Linked DNA regions of Tribolium castaneum. The protein of the gene in region 1 interacts with the protein of each later gene in a pairwise test. Links are inferred from orthologs where the notes say so. Each region holds a gene or a part of one and is shown on either strand. Other genes may lie near its edges.

Region 1 (3,038 bases):
ACAAAACGAAAGTCACTGTTTTCAATTGACGTTTGATAAAAAAGGACTTGTTACCTAATAGCCGAGTACTGTTTTTAAAACGTTTTTTGTATTTCTGTTCATTACTATCATTGTTAGTTGTCCTCATCATGTCTTTGGGGTTCGTTCAGAGACGTTTCATGAGCAGCGCGCTCCAAAAATGGGCGTACAGCATCTCCGGGTTCAATAAATTGGGGCTCATGAGAGACGACTGTTTGGACGAAACCGCCGATGTAAAGGAAGCACTTCGCAGACTGCCACAGCAAGAAGTAGACGCCCGCAATTACCGCATCCTTCGAGCCGTTCAATTGTCAATCCAGAAAGACATTCTCCCCAAAGACCAATGGACTAAACTGGAAGAAGACCGCCTTTACCTGACCCCAATCGTACAACAAGTGGTCAAAGAGAGAGAAGAGCGCGAGGAATGGGAGAAAAATTATTAATAGTTTGGTGTTTCGTAGTTGTAAATTGTAAAAAATAAATTATTAAAAGTAGCACTTTATTTTAGTTTAAAAAATACAGAACGTGAACAAATGAGTAAGAACGTGAATATTGGACTCAAATTAAATAGTCTAGTTTTCATCCTCTTCAATTTTGGGAGCTAAGTAAAACCTAAGGTGTCCAAGATCGGGGATCTGGTACTCGACCACGAGTGGGACGTTGTCAGACATGGACAACTGGACCTGAGACGCCAGAGGAGTAGCTTTCGTGAAGGAATTCAAATACTGGCAGGCGAAAGTTAGGCTCACAGGTTCCTGCATTTCGATCGTTACCGACTCCTCTTCCTTCTCAAAGTTGTTAGTTTGAGCGATTTTCACGTTCGCAGTTCCAATATCGCCGCCAGTGGAGAATTTAACTCCTTCTTTCGTGCACGAAATCATGATGGATTCCCCAAACTGGGCCAAATCCTTGCATATCCTGGCAAACTCGCCAGAAGGCATGCGAATAACGCAGGAGAAATCCGTCTCAGGAATCCCCAGATGCTCCTGGTCCAAATTCATGAGTTTCATTTCGTAATCGGAGATTTTCTCCTGCTTTTTGGCTTCGAACATGAAGGTGACTATGTCGGCATCGTCCTGGGCCTTGATCGTGACCGTGTCTTCGTTGTTCGCACATTTGAATATCTTTGCCATACTGTTGAAAAAATTATGAATAAGACAATTGGTGCTTAAGCTTGCTACTTACTTAGCCAGATTCATGCCCATTGTTAAGTTGCGGTCGCATCTGTATTTATCGAAACCATCGGATCGCAACATAAGGGACACCAGAGAGACGTGGGAATTGTCCATGGCCTGGAGCTGGATCCCCGACTCGGAGCAGTCAAAGGAGGCTTCATTGAGAAGGTCCTTGATGGCATCCAGGATTTTCTTGAAGGTGGCACTCGCCGTCAAACGTGCTTCGAACATTTTGCCGGTTAACACAGAAAATAACGACACAGAACTGAATTAACACAAAGGGCAGTGCACCAAGTGAGCCGACAACTTCCTGGAAATGCGAGGGAAACTGCAGTAAATGCGCGCCAATTTCTTGGGGATTTTCAAATTCGTCAATGTGGATCTGCTGAGGCAACGTGATTGGCTGATACCGATCACATGACTTTCAAGAAATTGTGAATAATCCACGTAATTGTGCTAAATTTATTTTAAATATAGTTACTTGTTGTGACACAAGTTTTGCGTCCTGTAATACTCCTATATTGGCTTATTTTAGTTAAATAAAAAAGCTGGAATACGGGGGTTTGAATTTGGGGCTAATTGTTTTGTGTGGTTGTCGTCATGGGGGTGAAAGTGGGATACGCGCATTGGCAACACGAGAGTATAGGCCAGGGGGGTTTTGCACTCCCGGGGAGATGAAAAGGGACGACCAATGACGACTGCTTATTTTAAAACAAGCGCGTATTTATTAGGGATTTCATTAAATTATATTTTTTGACGTAACAATGACATCTACGCTTGCGCGCAGATCGCTAAAAAGATCGCGCCGAAAATATCGCGCCAAAAGTGTTGTTTTGTCACTCATCGTTCAACGTGTTACCGGAAGTATGTAGCAATTATTTGTTTCATCGTTTAATCAAAGCAAAAATTCTGATTACAGTTCGTTAGTGAGTCAATTCCTGGTGTTGAGCGCCGACCAAAAAGATAAGTATCTCTTGTTTTGTTAATATAACCTCATCTTTTTGATTGGTGTTTCTTTCTATTTTAAAGGCATTGGTCTCTGGGCTGGAGTGACGGATTTTTGATTTCTACTACTCAAGCGAACTTTAGTCATGGCTGGTTATCGCAAATATTCCTGCAAATACCCCGGATGCACCAGTGGTTATGTTCCCAACAAAGGACATGCCAACAAGCATTTCTTCACCTTCCCTAAGAATCTAAAGCTTCACGAATTGTGGAGGAATGCCTGCAAAATTGAGGATCCTGTAAGTTCAAAATTTTGGCGTTTTCTCGATTTAGGGTATTTCAGAATTTACTTTTAAGTTTCTTATTTGCGCTCGAGTGTGTCAGTGCACTGCATGTACCTCCTCGTGGTCGTAGCGTGGGCAACTGTTTGCTGACAGACAAGGTAAAAGTCATTGCAAAGAAGGCCTTATTTTGTTTTAAGTCTGGAGCAGACAGGCAAAACATGCCAACACTAACTGATTTAATTTTTTGATAATTTTTGTATAATTAAGAAATAATACAATACTTTAATTTTTTGAAAAATTTAATTTGTTATGTTACTCAAGTGTACAATAAAAATGTTAACAAAATCTGTGTTTTATTACCCCAAAACAACTTTTTTTGTAAGTTTCATTGCAAATTTTGTTTAAAATAAATATAAAATGTTTTCATTTCGTTTAAAATGAAAATATTTTTTTTTATTTTAAACAATTTGCAATAAAACTTGTAAGATAAAAATAATAAAAAACAGAATATAAAAGGAATTTATTCAAACGTGGCGCTTTACCGTGGTAGTAACGCACTTCAGCACCAGAGGCGCTGTATTCTCGTGTTGCCAGTGATTTACTAGGGAATTATCAC
Region 2 (4,455 bases), on another chromosome or scaffold:
CAATAAAGTAATACATTGGACAATTCTTTTTAAAAATTCACCGCTTCTAATGTGGCATGATCAATTCTACGAAAAGCTTTTACAATTATTTTCTCTGGTGGTGCTGTCTATTTTTATTTTTATTTAATGATTTCTTATAAAAATTAACTTTTATATCTCGATGAGATTCGTACGCATTTTACATGAAGAATTCATTTTCACAACAAAATGACGTACAAAAAACGCCAGTCTGATGTTGTTATGTCAGAATTTATTGTTTTACATGATACACTACGTTCGTATCAAATAGATTTTATGTGCATTTTTCAGAAAAACCTAAACTATCAACTTTTGGAAAAAAAATTAAGAGGTGAAAAAATGTAAAATGAGATGCTGAATAATACAGAGTAATAAATATAATATTATAATATAATAAAAATAACAGTAATAAAATACAGAGGGTGCTCTATTTGCAAAAATCAAGTTACGGTGCTTCATAGTTTACCAAAATGAATGTGTCACAGCATAGTAATGCTACAATGCAAATGGACAGTCTTGTCACCGAAAGATACTCCCGATAGTAGTTTACACACAGATAAAATCCCAACTCAATATCTTAAAGACCAAGCACACTACAGTTTTTTAATAGTGTGCCTGCAGATGCACAGAATTGTAGAAAAAATTGAAATATTTTAAAATTTCGATAAGTGTGACTGTGTACATTAATAAAAATAAAATATGAAAGGGACAGGGATACGAAAATAAGTACGACTTGTGACATAAGCGCACTTTTGGCATGCAGTATCATCTTGGAGTTAAAAATAAAGTATATTCGCAATCATAATTATAATTTGGATATTGTTAACCTAGATTGACATACGGTCCGAAGAAATAGCAAAGACAAAACCAATAACCAGTAATAAAAAAACAATTTAGGTGGACGTATCATTAATTAATAGTAATTTATCATTTTCTCAGACTTTTATTTGTGTTTTGGTGCATTTGTGATTATTTAGTTATGTGAAACGTAAGTGAAGCTGCAGTATTTTTTTATTTATAAAAAATTTTATATCAAAAATTAAAATATTTTCAAGTGTTTTAGCATAAAAATTGCACAAAAACGCATTTACATCGATAGAACTTCATCAAAATAAAAACAAAACAAAATCACCAAATTTAATTTAAAAATGAAAGTAATACGAAACGAATAAAGGTTTAAACAAAGTAGGTTTAACAATATACATATTTTTACAAGTCTTCAAAATTCAAAGAAAAGCTCAGAATGTTTACATCTTACATTTCAACACATCCTGTTTCACACCTATTTTCGGTAATTTCTTATAAATAATTTATATGTAGAAATAAATATCTTATCAAATCTGAACAGCCACTTGTGTAAATCTTAAAGTGATTGATTTTTATCTTAATCATCGGCAATTTTTTTTATTTTTCAATACATATTAAACAAAAATAGGTAATAAGTAATAGCAAGTATTACAGTAAAATCCATAAAAAGAATAATAATTTAGCAACAGCAATCTCAATCTTAACGAAATAATAAAAATAATACAATTCCATTATTGGTAAGATTTACATAGCAATTTTTATTTCCCAATCATTGATAAAATTTTCTAATCAATAATTCGAAAAAATATTAACAGGAAATGACACGTTTACTTTAACTGATGCTTAAGTACGATTCAACAATTAAAAATACTTTTTATACGATCATGAAAAAAGATTAACGTCAAACGTAAAAATAACATTTTTTTATTAATGTTCAAGTATTTTAATTTTATTAATCAGTATACGTTCGGACAGTATGTGACCAAAGGAATGTAATGTGACAGCCCGACATTTGTCTACAAAAAAACTGACATTTTGAAAAAATTATGGCCGTTCGCCAGTAGAAAAAATAGTGTATGCGGCTCGCATTTATTGATGGCTATTAGGATAAGTCGAAGGCGAGAAATATTTCAAAATATTACCTTATATGGCAGCGATTCGAAGAATATGGAGGTAGCTGAGATTTTCTTAGTCGCAGTGAAGAATCCATGAGTCAAATGGCCCCCATCAGGCAAATCCAACCCCATAATACGTCCGTGCGCCTCAACCAATCCTTAGAAAAATATAAAAATAATGACAAACGTATTTGTTTTAATTCGGGGAAATACCTGTGTAGACGGCAAAATTGGCAGGTGACCCAGAATAGGGCTGCACATTCACACCCCATTCTTCTGGATTTAGTCTGTAAGCTTCCAAGGCCCGCTTTTGAGCTAAACGTTCGATCTGATCGATAAATTGGTTGCCCCCATAATACCTGTCATTTTAAAAGATAAAAAAATAGTTTAAATTTTCAATGAATTACCTTTGTCCAGGCAAACCTTCCGAATACTTATTATGCAGGCAAGTGCTCAAACATTGTAATACAGGCAGTGAGGTGAAATTTTCCGACGCAATCATTTCCAAACCGGTCAATTGTCGCTTTTTTTCCTCCTGAATGAGGGCAAAAAGTTCGGGATCGGAGTCCCAAACGTTTGAATGCAGCACTTGTTGACTCATTTTCCTTAACTGGGTCACAGCGAGTCTTTGCAGATTCTGAAAATTTATACTTCTTGTTAAAACGTTCATTTTGACAAGCCGGTGTAAAACGTTTCAAAAAAAGTAAGGTTATGTGGTGCTAACCTCAAAACTTTAAACTCGAATAATACCCGATTTTTGCTCAATTACTTTAAAAGGGGTTATCACCGAACTGTTTCACTCGTCACACTGATGGTCCACCACTCGTCCGAAGCTTCTTAAGAAATGTTTTAGAAAAAGTGATTTGTGATAACCTTATTTTATCAAAATACATGCTTGAGGTCACTGGGCCCCAACACAAGTTACGTTCTCGGTTGCTTAACTCGAAAACATCTTTGTTTGTTCGAATTGAGTTTTTATTTCGCGAAGAAATTGGGAAAATAGTGGTTTACATACCCGGTTGTTCAACAGGTGGTTGGCGGTTGAAAAAGCGCGCGAAAACATTTTGAATTCGAAGGATTCGAAAAAGTGGACGTTTCAACAGGGCGAAGAGGCCAAAAAGAACGATTTCGTTTACTATTGCGCTGCGTTAACCTCAGGGTGACGATAAGGCCTCTGATTTATTGAACTGCTGGAATGTTATCGCTAATTACTCAATTCATTATCATTCAAGATTTGGATCTTGGTGGTGACGAAAATTATCATGTTGCAACAGTTTCGATCGAATACGTGATTTTTCCAAGAAAACAATTTTATTAAGAATACAAATTGTATCGGAGAAGTGGAGAAAAACACGAACGGTCTCAGAGTACCATTTATGGGTTTATGGTAGAAACAACTTGTAATGTTGTTGTTGGAGGTATTTCACCTCAGTGCAAGTTCAGTGAAATTGTAGAAAGTGTTGGATTAGAATTCGGTTCTAATGCATCACGTATTTAGGTAAATTTTTGGGAATTCCAAACAAGGAGCTTAAACCCAATTTTACAACACGTATGGTCTAATTTTGCTAATTTGAATGGTGATACTGAAAATACTTATTATATGGTACCAATAATAATTTTTTTAATATATGAAATAAAATGCATTAGACATAGGTTCACTTTTCTGGCTAATAGTGTTTATCTAATAAACTAAGACAACAATTAATATTTGGTAAAATTAATACTATACATAGTTGGTAGAGATTTTATTAAAAAGCTGTGGGACTGTTACCAACATGACAAAAATACCCTGTTTTAGAATATTATTGAATTTATTTGGAATAGTTTTTTTACTAAAATAATAATATATTATTTTTAGAATTCAGAAGTGGTCTAGGTTATTATCTAACGACAATTTAAAATTGCACTTCAGATTTTTTTAATAAGTTGATTAGATCAACTAATTTTAAAATTGCACAGCTGTGATAAAATCTTGCTCATTGAGACACTTCATGTTGCTTTTAGATTATACAGGGCATTAGCCTAAAGAAGTAAACAGAATTTTTTTATCGAATTTGAAGTGTTTGCAAATATTCATTTCCTTTAGTTCAAGAAATTTTATATATTTTTTCTAATTTTGGTGAAAAATAAGTTGTTTTTAAAGAACTACATGGTAACAGATTTGTAAAAATTTCAGTGATTGATAAGTTACACAACTGTTTTTCTAAAATAACAAGTTTTTATCTTAGAGTTATATCTGCACTATTCCACTACTGAGTGAGGTTTAATTTAATTTAATAATAAATATGAGCTATTACATATATCTTATTACGTATAGATAATGAATAATAGTGAATGTAACCAAACCAAATTTCTGATTAAGTTTTCAATGGCTTTGAAATTGAGTTGGCATGTCTTTCATTGTTGCCAACTTTACACAATCCAAAAGGCTGCTTTGATTAGAATTTTAATCAAATATATGGTCCTTATGATATGAATATTTCGATTTTATAAATTAGTAATGACTTAATTAAGA

What was found.
Region 2: the proteins of PCNA (region 1) and Shmt interact in a two-hybrid assay, tested with the Caenorhabditis elegans proteins (2 studies listed by BioGRID). The link is inferred for Tribolium castaneum from reciprocal best matches to the Caenorhabditis elegans genes pcn-1 and mel-32.

The regions. Positions count from the first base shown.
Region 1 is NC_087396.1:13,479,236-13,482,273, forward strand, and holds PCNA (proliferating cell nuclear antigen), read right to left. Parts: upstream 1,549-3,038; 5' UTR 1,425-1,548; coding exon 1,204-1,424; intron 1,153-1,203; coding exon 591-1,152; 3' UTR 501-590; downstream 1-500. Other genes in the region: cytochrome b-c1 complex subunit 7, read left to right, coding at 129-461. UniProt on the Caenorhabditis elegans protein: This protein is an auxiliary protein of DNA polymerase delta and is involved in the control of eukaryotic DNA replication by increasing the polymerase's processibility during elongation of the leading strand.
Region 2 is NC_087399.1:11,318,642-11,323,096, reverse strand, and holds the start of Shmt (serine hydroxymethyltransferase), read right to left. Parts: upstream 3,117-4,455; 5' UTR 3,004-3,116; coding exon 2,956-3,003; intron 2,826-2,955; exon of another isoform or gene 2,665-2,825; intron 2,578-2,664; coding exon 2,348-2,577; intron 2,300-2,347; coding exon 2,154-2,299; intron 2,099-2,153; coding exon 1,968-2,098; intron 1-1,967. UniProt on the Caenorhabditis elegans protein: Interconversion of serine and glycine.